Linked DNA regions of Arabidopsis thaliana. The protein of the gene in region 2 purifies or fractionates together with the protein of the main gene of each other region. This does not show direct contact. Each region holds a gene or a part of one and is shown on either strand. Other genes may lie near its edges. The genes, in order: AT5G01320, PPC1, PDC3 and AT4G33070.

The links.
Region 1: the proteins of PPC1 (region 2) and AT5G01320 fractionate together in Arabidopsis thaliana (co-fractionation; one large-scale study listed by BioGRID). This does not show direct contact.
Region 3: the proteins of PPC1 (region 2) and PDC3 fractionate together in Arabidopsis thaliana (co-fractionation; one large-scale study listed by BioGRID). This does not show direct contact.
Region 4: the proteins of PPC1 (region 2) and AT4G33070 fractionate together in Arabidopsis thaliana (co-fractionation; one large-scale study listed by BioGRID). This does not show direct contact.

The regions. Positions count from the first base shown.
Region 1 is NC_003076.8:128,714-133,223, reverse strand, and holds AT5G01320 (Thiamine pyrophosphate dependent pyruvate decarboxylase family protein), read left to right. Parts: upstream 1-1,536; 5' UTR 1,537-1,598; coding exon 1,599-2,117; intron 2,118-2,203; coding exon 2,204-2,367; intron 2,368-2,444; coding exon 2,445-3,095; intron 3,096-3,195; coding exon 3,196-3,502; intron 3,503-3,569; coding exon 3,570-3,740; 3' UTR 3,741-3,961; downstream 3,962-4,510. Other genes in the region: PDC3 (pyruvate decarboxylase-3), read left to right, coding at 128-434, 516-686; APTX (APRATAXIN-like protein), read right to left, coding at 4,264-4,510.
Region 2 is NC_003070.9:19,883,421-19,890,437, reverse strand, and holds PPC1 (phosphoenolpyruvate carboxylase 1), read left to right. Parts: upstream 1-2,024; 5' UTR 2,025-2,133; exon of another isoform or gene 2,134-2,349; 5' UTR 2,350-2,367; coding exon 2,368-2,535; intron 2,536-2,761; coding exon 2,762-3,156; intron 3,157-3,236; coding exon 3,237-3,321; intron 3,322-3,395; coding exon 3,396-3,618; intron 3,619-3,718; coding exon 3,719-3,822; intron 3,823-3,913; coding exon 3,914-4,004; intron 4,005-4,103; coding exon 4,104-4,258; intron 4,259-4,334; coding exon 4,335-5,333; intron 5,334-5,415; coding exon 5,416-5,802; intron 5,803-5,880; coding exon 5,881-6,177; 3' UTR 6,178-6,503; downstream 6,504-7,017. UniProt on the Arabidopsis thaliana protein: Through the carboxylation of phosphoenolpyruvate (PEP) it forms oxaloacetate, a four-carbon dicarboxylic acid source for the tricarboxylic acid cycle. Contributes probably to the adaptation to inorganic phosphate (Pi) deprivation.
Region 3 is NC_003076.8:131,764-136,803, forward strand, and holds PDC3 (pyruvate decarboxylase-3), read right to left. Parts: upstream 3,158-5,040; 5' UTR 3,045-3,157; coding exon 2,559-3,044; intron 2,494-2,558; coding exon 2,330-2,493; intron 2,257-2,329; coding exon 1,606-2,256; intron 1,334-1,605; coding exon 1,027-1,333; intron 946-1,026; coding exon 775-945; 3' UTR 501-774; downstream 1-500.
Region 4 is NC_003075.7:15,951,756-15,956,475, forward strand, and holds AT4G33070 (Thiamine pyrophosphate dependent pyruvate decarboxylase family protein), read right to left. Parts: upstream 3,049-4,720; 5' UTR 2,922-3,048; coding exon 2,391-2,921; intron 2,299-2,390; coding exon 2,135-2,298; intron 2,064-2,134; coding exon 1,413-2,063; intron 1,323-1,412; coding exon 1,016-1,322; intron 935-1,015; coding exon 764-934; 3' UTR 502-763; downstream 1-501. Other genes in the region: AT4G33060 (Cyclophilin-like peptidyl-prolyl cis-trans isomerase family protein), read left to right, coding at 59-199. UniProt on the Arabidopsis thaliana protein: May play a role in ethanolic fermentation during anoxia.

The DNA.
Region 1 (4,510 bases), on a different chromosome or scaffold from region 2:
AATGCCTTGGTATTTAGCCTGAGATGATTTATGGGCCTATATAGATATCCCCAGAACTTTTTAGTAATTCTCTGGAAAAGAAAAAACACACAAGAGTTTTAAAAAGTCGTTGTTCTCTATATTGTAGGTACGAGTTTCAAATGCAGTATGGATCAATTGGTTGGTCTGTTGGTGCGACTCTAGGATACGCTCAAGCAACACCGGAGAAGAGAGTGTTGTCTTTCATTGGAGACGGAAGTTTCCAAGTGACGGCTCAGGACGTTTCCACAATGATTCGTAACGGACAGAAGACCATCATCTTCCTGATCAACAACGGTGGCTACACCATTGAAGTTGAGATTCATGATGGTCCTTACAATGTGATCAAGAATTGGAACTACACTGGTCTTGTCGATGCTATTCATAATGGTGAAGGCAAATGCTGGACCACAAAGGTAATTGATGTTTACAGTTGGAAATTAAACATATGAGTCCAGGGTTGAAGAGTAACATTATGAATGTTGTGTTTTTGGTAGGTGAGATACGAGGAGGAGTTAGTGGAAGCGATTAACACGGCGACATTGGAGAAGAAAGATAGTCTTTGTTTCATTGAAGTGATTGTTCACAAGGATGATACGAGCAAAGAGTTGCTTGAGTGGGGCTCTCGCGTCTCAGCTGCTAATGGTCGTCCTCCCAATCCTCAGTAGAAGCAAGAGAAAAGAAACGAATCTTGAGTGTCGCTCAAGCATCTATCGTTTATTGGCAATCTAATCACATCGCTACTTTTGTTCTTTCTCTTATGTCTAATTAAGTACTGGTTTCGATTTTTTGACCGCTGGTTTTAATTGATTTTGCTTTTAATATCCTTCATATTAGGGAACCCCTTGTTGACAAAGTTTTCATTATAAACTTCAATATTTCTGCTTTTTCTTAAACGTGAAATGAAAATTGTTGATGGAATCAGGATGGAATATTCTAATCTTATTAATGCCTTTACGTGCATGTAAATTATTGAGTTCCAATAATTATACTAACTTCTCAATATAAGGTAATAAAATTCTTGAACAATACGAATCTAGTATTTCTTTAGGTTCTTTTTCGTTTCTTTGGCAGCTACTTAATGTAAGTTATATCATAGTTAAGACGAAAATCAGAGACTTAATGCTGCATTAATGGTTCATCTTGGCAAACAAGTTCAAAGATACATATATAGTTAATAACAAAAATAAAATAAAAAATCCATGTTATACTCTAATATAGTTTGAAAATAAATTTATTTTCATCATCTTCTAACGTAAAATGTCTTTTCGTATCACAAAAAATTATAAATTTTTTAGTGCAAAATAAAACGTCCGTGTTTCGTGTATATAAGTATCAATTTATATAAGTAAATTTCTATCTGTAAAAAAGTAACTAAATGTAAGATGACAGCAAGAAAATTGCAAAAATATTTCAGTAAATCTTTATGCTTTTGGCACAAGGAAGTCAGAAACCGAATGTAATTTGCACTAATCAACATGTACAACTATATAACCCATCTAATAATTCCAATTTATTACTCATCATCACCACTAAAATAAATACTAAAAGGTTTCATTTTCTTCATAATAAGCTTTCCAATGGACACCAAAATTGGAGCCATCGACACGTGTAAGCCAACAACTGGTGACATCGGAAGTCCACCAAGCAACGCCGTCGCAACAATCCAAGACTCCGCTCCCATCACCACAACCTCCGAATCGACTCTAGGACGTCACTTATCCCGCCGTCTTGTCCAAGCCGGAGTCACCGATGTTTTCTCTGTTCCCGGTGATTTCAACCTAACTCTTCTCGACCACCTCATCGCCGAGCCAGAGCTCAACAACATCGGATGCTGTAACGAGCTTAACGCCGGTTACGCCGCCGATGGATACGCTCGATCTCGTGGAGTCGGTGCTTGCGTCGTGACTTTCACCGTTGGTGGACTCAGCGTTTTGAACGCTATCGCTGGTGCGTACAGTGAGAACCTACCAGTTATATGTATCGTTGGAGGTCCTAACTCCAACGATTTTGGCACTAACCGGATTCTTCATCACACCATCGGTTTACCTGACTTTAGCCAAGAGCTTAGGTGTTTCCAAACTGTTACTTGCTACCAGGTATTAACACATTTCAATATCAACTAGTCTTGATCATCACATATATATCTCCTTTGCTTAGATTTTAACTATGTGTTTGTTTTCAGGCTGTGGTGAACAATTTGGAGGATGCTCATGAACAGATCGACAAGGCGATAGCAACAGCTTTGAAAGAGAGCAAGCCTGTGTACATTAGCATCAGTTGCAACTTAGCTGCAACTCCTCATCCTACGTTTGCTCGTGATCCTGTCCCTTTTGACCTAACTCCTAGGTAATCATTACTCTAAACAGACTCATCGAATCAACGTTTGTTTTAGATTTCTCACTATTGTATGTATTGTTTCTTAGGATGAGCAACACGATGGGTTTAGAAGCTGCGGTGGAAGCAACATTGGAGTTTCTGAACAAGGCAGTGAAGCCAGTTATGGTTGGTGGCCCAAAGTTGCGTGTGGCTAAAGCAAGTGAGGCCTTTTTGGAGCTAGCTGATGCTTCAGGCTACCCTCTCGCAGTGATGCCTTCTACAAAAGGCCTTGTACCAGAGAACCATCCTCATTTCATTGGCACTTACTGGGGAGCAGTAAGCACACCTTTCTGCTCTGAGATTGTCGAATCTGCGGATGCTTACATCTTCGCAGGTCCAATCTTCAACGACTACAGCTCCGTAGGTTACTCTCTTCTCCTCAAGAAAGAAAAAGCAATAATTGTGCATCCTGATCGAGTCGTTGTGGCTAATGGTCCAACGTTTGGTTGCGTTCTGATGAGCGATTTCTTCAGGGAGTTGGCTAAGAGGGTTAAGCGTAACGAGACAGCTTATGAGAACTATGAGAGGATCTTTGTACCTGAAGGTAAGCCATTGAAATGCAAACCAGGAGAGCCATTGAGGGTCAACGCAATGTTCCAACACATTCAGAAGATGCTCTCTAGTGAAACCGCTGTGATTGCTGAAACTGGTGATTCTTGGTTCAATTGTCAGAAGCTAAAGCTGCCTAAAGGATGTGGGTACGTGTCTAACAAAGAAACTGAATCTTTGACATTTCTAACATTGTGACAATAGCGAAACAAACACAAGTTTTGAGAAAAGTTGTTCTCTATATTGTAGGTACGAGTTTCAGATGCAGTATGGATCCATTGGTTGGTCTGTTGGTGCGACTCTAGGATACGCCCAAGCAACCCCGGAGAAGAGAGTGTTGTCTTTCATTGGAGATGGGAGTTTCCAAGTGACTGCTCAGGACATATCCACGATGATTCGTAACGGACAGAAGGCGATCATCTTCTTGATCAACAACGGTGGCTACACCATTGAAGTTGAGATTCATGATGGTCCTTACAATGTTATCAAGAACTGGAACTACACTGGTCTTGTCGATGCTATTCATAACGGTGAAGGAAAATGCTGGACCACAAAGGTAATTAATGATTACAACTAGTAACTAACGTATGAATTTGGTGTTGAAGTAACATTGTGTTTGGCAGGTGAGATACGAGGAGGAGTTAGTGGAAGCGATTAAGACTGCGACAACGGAGAAGAAAGATAGTCTTTGTTTCATTGAAGTGATTGTTCACAAAGATGATACAAGCAAAGAGTTGCTTGAGTGGGGATCTCGCGTCTCAGCTGCTAATGGTCGTCCTCCCAATCCTCAGTAGAAGCAAGAGAAAAGAATCTTGAGTGTGACTCAAGCATCTCTCGTTTCTTTGCAATTGAATTAGATTGTTTTCTGTTCGAATTTTCGAATTTTCGACCGTTGGTTTTAATTGCTTTTGATACTTTCCAGTTAGTTGTACTGTACCATTACCATTGATGGTGTAATACAATTCCCTTTTTCCCTAATATTCTTCAATATTTGTGCTTTTTCTTATATGTAAAGTCCGAAAAAAATCAATTGATTCAACCTAAATCAAACATTTTTAAACCATCTTACATCTCAATTGGGTTAAAATTTATTTGACTTTTTTTTCTTTTTATCTGTCTTGTTTTCTTGCCATTTAAGTTTATAACTCAAGAACAAAATCAAAAACTTAATAACCAGAAGAAGATGAAAACCTAAGAACAGAGATGAATTTTTACAGAGACTGAATCTGAACCAAAATCACAATATATATTACCCGTAACAATTAGATAACAAAGAAAAAAAAATCCTAACCGAAATAGAACCGGTCGTTATAACTACTACGTCTCTGCTCTAGCCACAAGGCGATTGTTTTGGAGTAAATGGTCTGGAAATTGAGAATGGCAGCTTCTGACATGTGATTTAAGTTTTGGAATATTTGGGTGTGCGCTTCTACACCGATTGCAACGCAGCTCACCTTTCAACAGATCTTCGCTCGCCACATTGGCCTTGCCTTGGCTGTTGACCTCTTCAAGTACATCAACTGAGTCACGGAAGAACGAGGTCGTGAAAGAGTTCCAGTGTTTC
Region 2 (7,017 bases):
AAGTGATTTTCAGTTAAAAGTATAGTTTTTGCTAAAAATATTTATAACGGCATTAATCACGATACTCGCGTAAGTAGTATACTCTACCATATACTATCTTTTAGTGAGTCGGAAATATGTCATAAGCCATTACGCGACCATGCAATATTGCTTCCGTAAGCATCCGCACTAGTAAAGTGTCCAAATGGATGCCGTCAAAACAACAAAAGTGTTTTAAAAAAGAACCGAAACAAGTTTTCACACTTGGTCCTTAGCTTCTCAAACTCTTCTTCGTCCTGATAATGGACTTTAATTATCATGTTATACGTCAACCAAGTTATCAGCTAACCATCATCACTTTATTAAGTATATGCAGCCTTGTGCTCATAATATTCATTATATTATACTAAAAGTCTAATCATATGAAGAAAGGAAAAAAAAAAAAAGAGGCTTGTTTATGAAATTAAGGAGTGCACGTAAGGCCATATTTATAATTCTATTTCAGAAAATGTAAATTCAAACACGGCAAATATGTTAGTTTCATGGTGCATGCATGATGCATTTCCAACTGTTTCTTTTTTTGGGGATGAAAATGTATTTCCACCGGTTAATTAACGAAGCTTCTATTTCATGTTTCCGTTTTCTTTTACTTTTTTTTTTTGTTTTTACTTCATATATATCATTTGACAAAGTTAAGGCTTTAAAATGGCAGTAGTTTCTTAATTTGTTTTTAGATTTTGGATTTATGGTGTTTAGTTCTTAGTTTTTTTTTGCAGTAAATTTTTAGTTTTATATAAATGTATGTACCCAATACATATCACTATATATTTTATAGTCCAAAAGAATTTTATGTGATGGTGAAAAGAAAAAAATGTGTGATCATTCGCTGAAATTAATAAATTTTGCAGTATATTAAAGAAAACTAGAAAAGTGAGTACCTAATATTCCAACAATTAGACTGTATCACTCATGCCTGTCGTCTGTCGACTGTTGACTTGTGTTATAATAAAGACATTTCAAATTATCCGAATATTCCATTAGCACATATGAAGATATCCAATTTTTGAATAATTGGAGTCGACCAATGTAAAATATTCATAACGTGACATCACATCACATACATGTACGACTTTGTCACTTACCAAAAATGATCTAGTTATGATAATAACATCATCACATGAGTAAGAATGATAAGGCATGATCTAATCAGCATCATATACCGCTACTTTATTTACTATCACATTTTCGTTCACAAGAGTAATATTATATTTGATTTTATATATGTCTAAAAATTTATCGTAGACTGCCGATTTTAGATTTTGGGAGGTTAGAAGAACTAATAAAACCGAAAGAAATAGATGATGGTCGGTTAAATACTTAAGTCCTTTATAAGAAAGAAAAATTAAAAGTCAACTTTATCGCTGAAAGTGAAAGTTAGGTTGAAAGTTCAGAGATTTATTCATCAACTTCCGTGCATTGACACATGCTCTTCTCTACATTCGCTCACGTGAATTTTAGAACAACAAATTATTTTACAAACACTATAATCTTCCGGTAATTTAACCACAATAAAGAGATAAATAATCTTTATATTAAATCGATCGAATTCTAATTCTGTAGGTACTGTGAGTCAAACATGAAAGTGTAAATTTTCAAAATATGATTGGTGTTAACTTAGGTGAATCAATTTTTGATGTTTTTTTGTTGATTATATAAATCAAAATTACGGAAGAATGCATGTTGTTTACATAAGTGATATAATTAATTTTTTACTGATATATTAAAAATAAAAATATTTTATGTTATTGTTTTGGTTATTTTTTTGTTCCACAAAAATTAATTAATCATAATATTTCTTTCTTGACTATCACTAGATTCAATGAAAATCTCTCTTTTATACATAAATAAAAATCTTCTCAATGCATTAATAAATATATATAAATTGAGGAAAAAAAGAGATAGAAATCATGGAAAAAAAGGTTAAAAATTCCAACTATAAGCGAGCATCACATATAGAAATAGAATAATGTATAGGAATCCATCATGATCTCACTCTCTATATATAGGTAAGCCAAGTATCTTATTTTTGGTTATGTATCTCTGAAATCTGAATCTGACTGACTTCAAAGGACACAGCTTTTACTTCTATAACTGGTTAGCTTCTCCACACACACACACACTTGTTAGATTTACTTTTCCTCCGCACTATCAGCAGATTTTTCTCATCTGGGTCTGTTTGTTTCTGTTGACTCAAAGTTTCCGACTTTCTTATTTTCTGTCTCCGATTTCATCGCCGAAATCTCAGTCAATTTTGTCTTTAGATCTTTAATTTTTGGATCCCTTTAATTATTTTGTTTGGTCTTACTTCAGAGCGAAGCAGGTGAAAAAATGGCGAATCGGAAGTTAGAGAAGATGGCATCGATTGATGTTCATCTTCGTCAACTGGTTCCTGGCAAAGTTAGTGAAGACGACAAGCTTGTTGAGTATGATGCTTTGCTTCTAGATCGGTTTCTCGATATCCTCCAGGATTTGCACGGTGAAGATCTCCGTGAAACTGTACGTTTTCTCCATTTTGGATTTGACCCTTTTGCTATAAGATCCTGAAACTACATGCTCTGTTTTGAGTATTGACTAAAGGTTTCAACTTTTTTTGATTCGATCATGGATTAGATTAGTTAGGGTTTTGAAACGCAGGAAGATTTAAACTTTATGTTAGTTTTGAGATTAGTAGTTTCATGTGATCTAATTTTGATGATCTTATTGTGTGTGTTGTTGTATATAGGTTCAAGAGCTTTATGAGCATTCTGCAGAATACGAAGGGAAGCATGAACCTAAGAAGCTAGAGGAGCTAGGGAGTGTGCTAACGAGTTTAGATCCAGGAGATTCCATTGTTATCGCTAAAGCTTTCTCTCATATGCTTAACTTAGCCAATTTGGCTGAGGAAGTGCAGATTGCTTATCGCCGTAGGATCAAGAAGCTGAAGAAAGGTGATTTTGTTGATGAGAGCTCTGCTACTACTGAATCTGATCTTGAAGAAACTTTCAAGAAGCTTGTTGGAGATCTGAACAAGTCTCCTGAAGAGATCTTTGATGCTCTCAAGAATCAGACTGTGGATTTGGTTTTGACTGCTCATCCTACTCAGTCTGTGAGAAGATCATTGCTTCAGAAACATGGGAGGTTAGTCTTTGAGGCTTCACCGGGCTTGCTTTGGATCGATGTTTTGATGTTAAAGTTATCTACTTTGTGCGGTTTTTCAGGATAAGAGACTGTCTGGCTCAACTATATGCTAAGGATATTACTCCTGATGACAAGCAAGAGCTCGATGAGGCTCTTCAGAGAGAGGTAAAATCTTATTGGATTCTTCATATTTACATGATTTTGGAAACTAATGGAAAAAAAACTTGGGTTTTTGTTAGATTCAAGCTGCATTCCGAACAGATGAAATCAAAAGAACACCACCTACTCCTCAAGATGAGATGAGAGCGGGAATGAGTTATTTCCATGAAACTATCTGGAAAGGTGTTCCTAAGTTTCTGCGCCGTGTTGACACGGCTTTGAAAAACATAGGGATCGAAGAACGTGTTCCATATAATGCTCCATTGATTCAGTTCTCTTCTTGGATGGGTGGTGATCGTGACGGTACATTTCTACAAGTCCTTCTCGCATAGCTCTCTTATTGCGCTCCCTCTCTTAATGGTTTTACTCATGTCACAAACTCACAATATATGTGTATTTGCAGGTAACCCAAGGGTTACACCTGAAGTCACCAGAGATGTTTGCTTGTTAGCTAGAATGATGGCTGCTACTATGTACTTTAACCAAATCGAAGATCTTATGTTTGAGGTTTGATCTCGAGTTCTTTTTTTGAGTTTAGTCTCCTTACTTTCTTTTATTTATGTATCACCTCATTTCATGATTACTGCTTCTTTCATAGATGTCTATGTGGCGTTGCAATGACGAGCTGCGTGCGCGAGCTGATGAAGTTCATGCAAATTCGAGGAAAGATGCTGCAAAACATTACATAGGTAAGAAAAATAACCGATTTTGAGCATTTTGTTTATGTTTAAGCTATGTGTCTGGAACCGATTTAATTTGGAACCTATCATTCATTGTCTTGATTGCAGAATTCTGGAAGTCAATTCCTACAACTGAGCCATACCGTGTGATTCTTGGCGATGTAAGGGACAAGCTTTATCACACACGTGAACGCGCTCATCAACTGCTCAGCAATGGACACTCTGATGTCCCTGTAGAGGCTACTTTCATTAACTTGGAACAGGTATCATTGCAATTAGAATCTTTTAACTCCCGGTTATGATTTGGTACTAAACCACTCTCTCATGCTATTTGTGTAGTTCTTGGAACCTCTTGAGCTCTGTTACCGATCTCTGTGTTCATGTGGTGATCGTCCAATAGCAGATGGAAGCCTTCTTGATTTCTTGAGGCAAGTCTCAACCTTTGGGCTCTCTCTTGTGAGACTTGACATAAGGCAAGAATCTGACCGCCACACTGATGTATTGGATGCTATCACCACGCATTTAGATATCGGATCCTACAGAGAGTGGTCTGAAGAACGCCGCCAAGAATGGCTTTTATCTGAGCTAAGTGGCAAACGTCCGCTTTTCGGTTCTGATCTTCCTAAAACCGAAGAAATAGCTGATGTTCTGGACACGTTTCATGTCATAGCCGAGCTACCAGCAGATAGCTTTGGTGCTTACATTATCTCTATGGCAACTGCACCTTCTGATGTATTAGCTGTTGAGCTTTTACAGCGTGAATGCCGAGTGAAACAGCCTTTGAGAGTTGTTCCGCTCTTTGAGAAGCTAGCAGATCTGGAAGCAGCTCCTGCTGCAGTTGCTAGGCTCTTTTCTGTTGATTGGTACAAAAACCGAATTAACGGTAAGCAAGAGGTTATGATTGGTTATTCGGATTCAGGAAAAGATGCTGGACGGTTATCTGCTGCTTGGCAGTTATACAAAGCTCAAGAAGAGCTTGTGAAGGTTGCTAAAGAGTACGGTGTGAAGCTAACAATGTTTCACGGTCGTGGTGGCACGGTCGGAAGAGGAGGTGGACCAACCCATCTTGCTATATTGTCTCAGCCTCCGGATACTATTAACGGTTCCCTCCGTGTCACAGTTCAAGGTGAAGTCATCGAGCAATCGTTTGGTGAAGAGCACTTATGCTTTAGAACACTTCAGCGTTTCACAGCTGCTACACTCGAGCACGGTATGCGTCCTCCAATTTCGCCTAAACCAGAATGGCGCGCTTTGCTGGATGAAATGGCGGTTGTTGCAACCGAGGAGTATCGCTCAGTTGTGTTCCAAGAACCTCGGTTTGTCGAGTACTTCCGCCTCGTAAGTATTATTACATTCACTCGGAATCTTTAACTCACCCCACAGAGTCTTAAAACTCACAGAATCTTAAAATCTGTTGCAGGCTACACCGGAACTGGAGTATGGACGTATGAATATCGGAAGCAGACCTTCGAAGCGTAAACCAAGCGGTGGCATTGAATCTCTCCGTGCAATTCCATGGATCTTCGCTTGGACTCAAACAAGATTCCATCTTCCTGTATGGCTTGGATTCGGATCAGCAATTAGACATGTGATCGAAAAAGACGTCAGGAACCTCCATATGCTCCAAGATATGTACCAACACTGGCCTTTCTTTAGAGTCACCATTGATCTAATCGAAATGGTGTTCGCTAAAGGAGATCCTGGTATTGCTGCTTTGTACGATAAGCTTCTTGTTTCAGAGGAACTCTGGCCTTTTGGTGAGAAACTCAGAGCTAACTTCGAAGAAACCAAGAAACTCATCCTCCAGGTAAAAACAGAGCCTTCTTGACTTCTTTCTTCTTATTATTATTGTAAGGTTTTGTCTGAATGGCTTTGCTGTTTGCAGACCGCTGGACACAAAGATCTTCTTGAAGGTGATCCTTACTTGAAACAGAGACTGAGACTTCGTGATTCTTACATTACAACTCTCAATGTCTGTCAAGCTTACACATTGAAGAGAATCCGTGATCCGAGTTACCATGTGACTCTGCGACCACACATTTCTAAGGAGATAGCGGAATCGAGCAAACCAGCAAAAGAACTCATCGAGCTTAACCCGACTAGCGAATACGCGCCAGGACTTGAAGATACACTCATCTTGACGATGAAGGGTATTGCTGCTGGTCTACAAAACACCGGTTAAGCTACAAAGAGATGGTTAAACAAACTTTGAATCTCTCTTTCTCTCTCAAGTCTCTCCTTTTTTTAACTACAGATTTGGAAAATAAGGTTGGATTCTGGTTTATTTTATGTATCCACCGTCAAAATGTTGATTTTCGTGTACGAGTACTTCGAGATCATTGAACACATGCTCTGTTTTTTTCTCAAGTTTAATAAAACAGAACAAGAGAATCTTTTCTTGTTTATTTTCTTATCTACACCACTAGACCAAGAACGGCACTGACTTAGTTGCTTAAAACACTTCGGTCTGGTTTGGTTCGGCTTTTTGTTCATCATTGTGTAAACAAACATGTAGTTTGAGTATGTTTGTGGTCCCGAAAAACGGCAGACATGTTTGCGGAAAGAGGCCGTTAAAAAGCAAAAATGGTTCGAAGAAAACGACACGGTGTTTGAGTCTCGTATATAGACACGGTGTGCATTTTCTAGTTCGAGTAACGTCCCAACGGCTCTGTATTAATTGTGAGAATTTATAGCGTACATGTACGGTGTACCGGTTTTTCACCAACGTACTTTATGCTTTAATTTAATTTCACTGAGGTCAAAAAGTTCACACTAGTCTTAGTCGGTGAGTGTTAATCACGCGCCTCCACTAATGATGCAAAAAAACAGAAATTTTATTATTATTAGTAAATTGGCTTTTCTGTGATATAATAATAATAATAAACTCAAATTTAGCTAAAAGTTGAAGACGACCAAACATATGTTATCCATCAAAATATAGTTTAAAATAAAAAGAGAAAAATACGTGTCAAACTACCACGAATTAAGGGCACCGACTTTGGCCGGCGGTAGAATAGCACCG
Region 3 (5,040 bases), on a different chromosome or scaffold from region 2:
CTTGTGCCAAAAGCATAAAGATTTACTGAAATATTTTTGCAATTTTCTTGCTGTCATCTTACATTTAGTTACTTTTTTACAGATAGAAATTTACTTATATAAATTGATACTTATATACACGAAACACGGACGTTTTATTTTGCACTAAAAAATTTATAATTTTTTGTGATACGAAAAGACATTTTACGTTAGAAGATGATGAAAATAAATTTATTTTCAAACTATATTAGAGTATAACATGGATTTTTTATTTTATTTTTGTTATTAACTATATATGTATCTTTGAACTTGTTTGCCAAGATGAACCATTAATGCAGCATTAAGTCTCTGATTTTCGTCTTAACTATGATATAACTTACATTAAGTAGCTGCCAAAGAAACGAAAAAGAACCTAAAGAAATACTAGATTCGTATTGTTCAAGAATTTTATTACCTTATATTGAGAAGTTAGTATAATTATTGGAACTCAATAATTTACATGCACGTAAAGGCATTAATAAGATTAGAATATTCCATCCTGATTCCATCAACAATTTTCATTTCACGTTTAAGAAAAAGCAGAAATATTGAAGTTTATAATGAAAACTTTGTCAACAAGGGGTTCCCTAATATGAAGGATATTAAAAGCAAAATCAATTAAAACCAGCGGTCAAAAAATCGAAACCAGTACTTAATTAGACATAAGAGAAAGAACAAAAGTAGCGATGTGATTAGATTGCCAATAAACGATAGATGCTTGAGCGACACTCAAGATTCGTTTCTTTTCTCTTGCTTCTACTGAGGATTGGGAGGACGACCATTAGCAGCTGAGACGCGAGAGCCCCACTCAAGCAACTCTTTGCTCGTATCATCCTTGTGAACAATCACTTCAATGAAACAAAGACTATCTTTCTTCTCCAATGTCGCCGTGTTAATCGCTTCCACTAACTCCTCCTCGTATCTCACCTACCAAAAACACAACATTCATAATGTTACTCTTCAACCCTGGACTCATATGTTTAATTTCCAACTGTAAACATCAATTACCTTTGTGGTCCAGCATTTGCCTTCACCATTATGAATAGCATCGACAAGACCAGTGTAGTTCCAATTCTTGATCACATTGTAAGGACCATCATGAATCTCAACTTCAATGGTGTAGCCACCGTTGTTGATCAGGAAGATGATGGTCTTCTGTCCGTTACGAATCATTGTGGAAACGTCCTGAGCCGTCACTTGGAAACTTCCGTCTCCAATGAAAGACAACACTCTCTTCTCCGGTGTTGCTTGAGCGTATCCTAGAGTCGCACCAACAGACCAACCAATTGATCCATACTGCATTTGAAACTCGTACCTACAATATAGAGAACAACGACTTTTTAAAACTCTTGTGTGTTTTTTCTTTTCCAGAGAATTACTAAAAAGTTCTGGGGATATCTATATAGGCCCATAAATCATCTCAGGCTAAATACCAAGGCATTTTATATCGTTTCCAACCAAGTACATATATACCACCACTCTTTAACCAGCAATTTCTAGATGTTGACTTTACTAGATGAGCTTATATTGACTGCTTCAACAATGTTAAAAGGTAAAAGATTTAGTTTCCTTTTTCTAGATACGTACCCACATCCTTTAGGCAGCTTAAGTTTCTGACAATTGAACCAAGAATCACCAGTTTCAGCAATCACAGCGGTTTCATTAGAGAGCATCTTCTGAATGTGTTGGAACATTGCGTTGATTCTCAAAGGCTCTCTTGGTTTGCATTTCAAAGGCTTACCTTCAGGGACAAAGATTCTATGGTAGTTCTCATAAGCCGTCTTGTTAGGTTTCACCCTCTTAGCCAACTCCCTGAAGAATTCGCTCATCCGAACGCAACCAAAGGTAGGACCATTAGCCACAACGACACTATCAGGATGCACAATGATGGCTTTTTCTTTCTTGAGGAGAAGTGAGTAACCAACGGAGCTGTAGTCGTTGAAGATTGGACCTGCGAAGATGTAAGCATCCGCGGACTCGACAATCTCAGAGCAGAAAAGAGTGCTCACTGCTCCCCAGTAAGTGCCAATGAAATGAGGATGGTTCTCTGGGACAAAGCCTTTGGCAGATGGCATCACTGCCACGGGGTAGCCTGAAGCATCAGCTAGCTCCACAAAGGCATCCCTAGCTTTAGCCACACGCAACTTGGGACCACCGACCATAACGGGCTTCACGGCCTTGTTTAGAAACTCCAATGTTGCTTCCACGGCAGCTTCTAAACAATCCTTGTTGCTCAACCTAATTTAAGAAACAATCCACACATCTTTGAGCTTGATTCTTGAAGAGAACAGGATTGATCAGTTATATTTACCTTGGAGTTAGGTCAAAAGGGACAGGATAACTAGCAAATGTAGGATGAGGAATGGCAGCTAAGTTACAGCTGATGCTAATGTACACAGGCTTGCTCTCTCTCAGAGCTGTTGCTATCGCCTTGTCGATCTGTTCATGAGCATCCTCTAAATGGTTCACCACAGCCTGAAAACAAACACACTGTCAAAATCTAAGAATGTGATGATCAAGATTCGATAATGTGGTTATACCTGATAGCAAGTAACAGTTTGGAAACACCTAAGCTCTTGGCTAAAATCAGGTAAACCAATGGTGTGATGAAGAATCCGGTTAGTGCCAAAATCGTTGGAGTTAGGACCTCCAACGATACATATAACTGGTAGGTTCTCACTGTACGCACCAGCGATAGCGTTCAAAACGCTGAGTCCACCAACGGTGAAAGTCACGACGCAAGCACCGACTCCACGAGATCGAGCGTATCCATCGGCGGCGTAACCGGCGTTTAGCTCGTTACAGCACCCGATGTTGTTGAGCTCCGGGTTGGCGATGAGCTGGTCAAGCAGAGATAGGTTGAAATCACCGGGAACAGTGAAAATGTCGGTGACTCCGGCTTGGACAAGACGGCGGGATAAGTGACGTCCAAGAGTCGCTGCAGAGGAGCCGAGTATGGTTGCGGCGGTGGGAGCGGAGTCTTGGATTGTTGCGACGCCGTTGCTTGGTAGACTTCGGACGTCCATTGGAAAATGAGCTTAATAATTAGGATATGATGATGAAGCTCTCTTTGTTTTTCTTGTGAGCAGTATAATGCTGTTGGATTATATAGTTGTTTGTGCGTTGTAGTAGATTCAAAACACTACCAGTTTATTTCGTAATAAAATTGTTTAGTAATTATATAGTTTTTTATACGAATAATGCATACGATTATATTATAAAATGTTCAATTAGACATACAGAATTAATCATCTGATTTTCCTCTCTGGACTTACATTTAATTCAACGTGCAAAGAAACGAAAATAATATATTTTAATTGTTTATAAAGATATACTGATCAGTTGTATTATTGTTCAAGACGACTTGTATTAACTTGAAATAAATTATTAGAATTCAATAATTTACATGTGATGCGCGCAAGGGTAGAGTTACATCGTGATCCCATACCATAATACTTCACATGTGTATGTGGCCATATTTAACAACATTGCGAGTCTTTTTGTTCCTTGCTTCTTATATAGTTAAACGATTCATACTAATTCTGTTACTTGGGATTTGGGAACAAATTGTTCTTGTTCTCATAAATTACACTCTTATCTATGTTAGTAAACTTACGACGCTCATTATAAAGTATCACATGAACAACAAAAAGTCTCCATGGTGATGGAACATTGCTATTTCATTAATATTTAAATGGATTATTAATGTGTTAACGTGGGAGCACATGTTAACGCGTGAGAACAAGTTGTTATGTTTTCATAACATTAAAACCAAAAAAAAGGGTTAATAACATGTTGTTAAACAACAATGTATATTTCAACGTGTAAATTTTTTTTTTGCCAGACATTCTAACGTGTTTAGTGATTACCTTGAAAACTATCTCTTCGAATCATTGTTAATATCTCAAACCAACAGAGTCGCCGGTAATATATTCCCAACATTCATTTTGAGTACATAAACAATGTGACCAACTTTTAGGCGATTAGGGTTTTTCCGTTTCTGCCGCCGCGTTGCTGGTCGCCGGCTTCTCGCCGGTTGAGATCTTGTCATGTCTAAGAAGAAAAAGAAGATCCCTCTCCTTCCTGTCAGTTCAAAGTTCGCTCGGGTTTTGGCTTGCGCTCAGTCCGGCTCTGTCCCCCTGTCGTCGTCTGCTCCTTCCGGATCTGCTTCGCCTCCTTCCTCTGGTCTTCCCTGCGCTGGCTCTTTGGCTCTGGTTCTCCCTGTTCCTCTGGTTTTCGACTTGGAAGAGAATTCCTTGTCTCCCGAGGTTATTTCGGAGACTGTTTCTCTCATCCCGAAGTCGTCTACTCTTACTCCTCTGGTAGCTATTGAAGCGAATGGGTCATCCATTCAGCCTCTGCCTACTGTAATTTCCTCCTCGGTTGGCTTGGGATCAGTGTCCGAGATCTCCTCCGCTGGTTCCCCCATTTTGACTCCTTCAGTTGGCTCAGCTCCTCTCTTAGCTCCGAGCTCAGGGCCTGTTGGCTCCTCAGATATGGTTGCTACCAAGTCTCTCTCTTTGGGATCTGCTATTCCTCAGTCTTCGACTCCTATTTCGGGCTCTTCCTCTCAGGCCCCCAGCTCCGATTCAAAAATTGATCTTCCTTGGGTAGCTAAGTTTAAGGCTTCACTGCATAACCTTAAGCAAATGAGTCAGCCAACTTACTTGGAAGATGGTACTCCGGTTGTGATCGCTCCTTCCTCGGTCTTGTTGAAGTCTGCTGCTTTGTGGAAGGGCCATGTCGTAGCTCAATTTCATGGCTCTTGTCCTCCTGCAACCCGGATCTTCTCTGATTTGAATCCAATTTGGGGAAATTACGGTGATATTACCGTTCGCATCGTCTCCGAGACTGTGGCTCTGATTTTTATTCCGGCTCTTAATACTCGCCAATGGGTGGTGGATGTGGGATTCTGGCAAGCTGGTAACTGTTCTTGTACAGTCTACCCTTGGTCTTCAGAAGGTCTCCTTAATATTGATGAGTTGAAGACTGCTCCAACCTGGGCTGTATTGAAGAATGTTC
Region 4 (4,720 bases), on a different chromosome or scaffold from region 2:
TATGTTTGTGTTTATAGTGTCCTGTGGAAGAACCTGACAGTGTGAAACTATCCTGCAGGATAAAATGTCACGCAGGGATGATCCAGATGCGTATATGGTGGTTGACCCTCTTCTTGAAAAGGGAAAAGAGAAGTTCAACAGAATGCAAGCCAAACAAAAACGAAGGGAGCGAGAATGGTCTGGAAAATCTCTTGCCTGAGTTTGGAAATCTTAACCATTTAATTTTGTTTTCTTATGTTGATCCTTAAGATGCCCGTTCACTGTCAAAATCTCTCCTGTTTAAACTTAGATACATTCAGAGACATGAATGAGCATCTTAAATAAGGTCACTAGCTCCAATGATACAGAACTAATGTGTTAATACATGTTATATGTAGGAAACTTAGCTATATAAGTGATATGATTTTAAGCCCTTCAACTGACATTTATCTTCAATAGATTGGTCATCCAGGTTGGATGGTATTCTTCACTAGGATATGTGGTTCAAAATTCTAGCAAAACATGGTTAGTTCGATTTTTTAGCAAGTTTAAATGCAAAAAAGATCATATGATATTAACCAAATTGATTTAGATTGAACCATTTGGATTTGTTCAATCTAATGAAACTGCAAAAGGAGCTTTACTTTATTCCATGATAAAGCGTACATGGAAAGAGATACTAATAAGTTTGAAACATGATTAAACCCAACGGTCGAAAAATCAACACTTATCAGAAAATGTCACTAAATTGGTAAGAAGCATTGAAGATTCTGTGTTGCTTCTTCTACTGAGGATTGGGAGGACGGCTGTTAGCAGCAGAGACGCGTGAGCCCCACTCAAGCAACTCTTTGCTCGTATCATCCTTGTGAAGAATCACTTCTATGAAACATAGACAATCTTTCTTCTCCGTCGTCGCTGTCGTAATCGCCTCCACTAACTCCTCTTCGTATCTCACCTGTCAAACACACCAAATTCATATGTTAGTTTATAACCAAAGTCTGGCTAAAACTCCATTGTCATCAATCTTTTTAATTACCTTTGCAGTCCAGCAATTGCCTTCACCGTTATGAATGGCGTCAACGAGACCAGTGTAGTTCCAGTTCTTAATCACGTTATAAGGACCGTCATGAATCTCTACTTCAATGGTGTAGCCACCATTGTTAATCAAGAAGATGATCGTCTTCTGTCCATTACGCAGCATTGTTGATATGTCCTGAACCGTGACTTGGAAACTCCCATCACCGATGAATGCCAACACTCGCTTCTCTGGTGATGCCTGTGCGTATCCTAGAGTTGCACCAACAGACCACCCAATCGATCCATACTGCATCTGAAACTCGTACCTACAATGAAGAAAGCAGGTTCAAATCTTGTGCCTACTTCACTATAATAAGTGTAAAGATTAGAGTCTCTTTTTTTTTCTGGACACTTACCCACATCCTTTTGGCAGCTTTAGTTTTTGGCAATTGAACCAAGAATCACCGGTTTCAGCAATCACAGCGGTTTCACTAGAGAGCATCTTCTGAATGTGCTGGAACATTGTGTTAACTCTCAATGGCTCTCTTGATTCACACTTCAATGGCTTACCTTCAGGGACAAAGATCCTATGGTAGTTCTCATATGCAGTCTCGTTACGCTTCACCCTCTTAGACAATTCCCTGAAGAAATCGCTCATCAAAATGCAACCAAAAGTAGGACCATTGGCCACAGTGATACGATCAGGTTGCACAACGATGGCTTTTTCTTTCTTGAGGAGAAGCGAGTAACCAACAGAGCTATAGTCGTTGAAGATTGGACCTGCAAAAATGTAAGCATCCGCAGATTCCACAATCTCAGAGCAAAAAGGAGTGCTCACTGCTCCCCAATAAGTTCCAATGAAATGAGGATGGTGCTCTGGTACAAAGCCTTTCGCAGAAGGCATCATCGCCAAAGCATAGCCTGAAGCATCAGCTAGCTCAACAAAGGCATCACAAGCTTTAGCCACACGCAACTTAGGACCACCAACCATAACTGGCTTCACAGCCTTATTCAGAAACTCCAATGTTGCTTCCACCGCAGCTTCTAAACCCATCTTGTTGCTCAATCTGATAAAACCATTTGTGAGTTTTAATTCTCGCAGAAACAGAGTATTGATCAGAGTTCAAGTATAAATTACCTTGGAGCTAGAGAAAAAGGGACAGGATCACGGCTAAATGTATGATGAGGAATCGCTGCTAAGTTACAGCTTACACTTATATACACAGGCTTGCTCTCTTTCAAAGCTGTTGATATTGCTTTATCAATCTGTTCATGAGCATCATCTAAATTGTTCACCACCGCCTGAGAAACAAAAACAGAACCAAAATCATTCATAATCCGACGCTAATTAATCTTCAAAATATTTCTAATTAGATCTGATTTTTTGTGATTACCTGATAACAAGTCACCGTTTGGAAGCACCTAAGCTCTTGGCTAAAATCAGGTAATCCAATGGTGTGATGAAGAATCCGGTTAGTGCCATAATCGTTAGAGTTAGGACCTCCGACGATACAGATAAGAGGAAGATTCTCGCTGTAAGCACCAGCGATCGCGTTTAAAACGCTGAGTCCACCAACGGTGAAGGTAACAACGCAAGCGCCGACTCCACGAGATCTAGCGTAACCGTCGGCAGCGTAACCGGCGTTTAGCTCGTTACAACATCCGATTAGGTTGAGGTCCGGCTCAGCCATGAGGTGATCAAGCAAAGTGAGGTTGAAATCTCCGGGAACAGAGAAAACATCCGTAACGCCGGCTTGGACGAGACGACGAGCTAAGTGACGGCCGAGAGTCGCGTCGCAGTAGTTGATGGTGATAGCGGAGGAAGGAACAGAGTTGTGGATTGTTGCGACGGTGCCGTTTGTTGGACTACAGACGTCGCCGTTCGTCGGCTTGCAATCATCGATCGATCCGATTTTGGTGTCCATGGAAATGGGAAGGTTTGAGTTCACTAACAGAGAAATTAAAAAACTGTCAAGTTTGTGTATGTGTGTGAGAGATATACTCTTTTTATTTTTGGGATGAGTAACAAAATGAGAATGGGAGAGGTTTTTATATAGTTGTTGGATTAGAGACTAGGAGGAATACATGGGTGGTTTTTTGACTAGTGGTTTTTGGTTTCTGTTTTCTTGTGCAAAAAGCAAAAAAATAATATCTAACTTTGAGATTTGACCCAAACATTCTTCTTCTTAATTATTGTTTATGTCGGTCTAAAATGCATTTACTGTTTTAGTATCATACTACTCCCAGTAAGGCTGTAACAGATTATTACCATTGGAAATATCTTAATTTTCCAAAATTGAACATCAATACATCAGTTATTTTTGTGATTCTCCTCTTAATTATGAACTAATTTGTTATACGTGGGAACAAAGTTATAATATCCCCATTCCAAATTTGAGTTAATTTCAGGTTTTTAGCCGGAAACAATAATTTGTATACTCATCAGTTATTATTGAGTTAATTCTTTGGGTTCACTTTTAAAGTTTCAATGAAGAAGTGTAATTGCTAGCGTCAAACGGCAAGAGACGTGATGCCATTTGCATTTGGTCAGCAAACTCTATTAGAAAAACATATTCGGACGATTATCGTCGTTGAGATGCAGATGGTTTTGGGGTTTGCTTCTTATAGTATAATCAGTTAAGTAAGAAATATCTACAAATTTTAAATTCACTTAATCGCTTTGGTTATATACTAATCACACAAAAGATACACGTAGATCTATGATGGAATCTTGTTTTTGTCGTCGTAACTTTCAAGATCAATAGTGATGTTACGGTAATTATATGATTAAGCTCACACATATATACTGTCACACATACATATAGTGTAATTCAAGGGAAATAGCTTACAATGTTTTTTTTTCTTTTTTTCTTTTCATATTGATATTTCCTAGAAAACTGTATATCAACATATCAATAATTTTTCATAATGTAATTATACATAAATTTATGCAATTTTCTTTTTTTTGGGTAGCAATATTAAGTATTTATGCAAAAATTATTTGACTATGATCACTTTTATTTTTTAGTTCTTATAGATTGAATATATATATATAAAATCCAAGCGTGCAATAATAGATTTTATAGTTTTGAGGATTGAGGTTAAAATAGTCATACCCAAAAACTTGTATAAAAGCAATATAAACAAAAGCTTTTACTAAATTAAATCATTTATGTATATAAGGGTACCTTATTTAAATAAAAAAAATTAAATCATTCAAAATAATATGAGCAGACCTAAAATATTGGGGCCACCGTCATTCTAAACCGTCTCATTGTTTGTTTCATAAACCAACGGAGTCGCCGGTAATCTCCTTTGCAACTTGATTTCTCAACAACTAATAATTAATTACTTTTCCTACCTTTTGGTTAAACACATGAAATTAATTACTATATCCCAAACCACTATGATCGTGGTTTTAAAGAACGTCGAAATAGGCCACAAAAGACCAAAAAAAAAAAAAAAAAAAGTACGTCGAAATAATTGAGCTGTAGCACTTTTTGTTTTAGTAAAGCTAATGGTAAGTGTTTCAATTGGTCAATTGATTGTTTTTATATGACCCGTTGTGTTGAGTGTTCTTCTACGTGACGAGACAAAACAGAAAATAATATTCTTATAAGCTTGAAATTGAAATACGGCGCATGTTCAATACTGAGAGGTGAAAACTTATGTGCTGCAACGGTGATACACGTGACCTTCATGCGTCTCCTAGTATTTCGTCTAC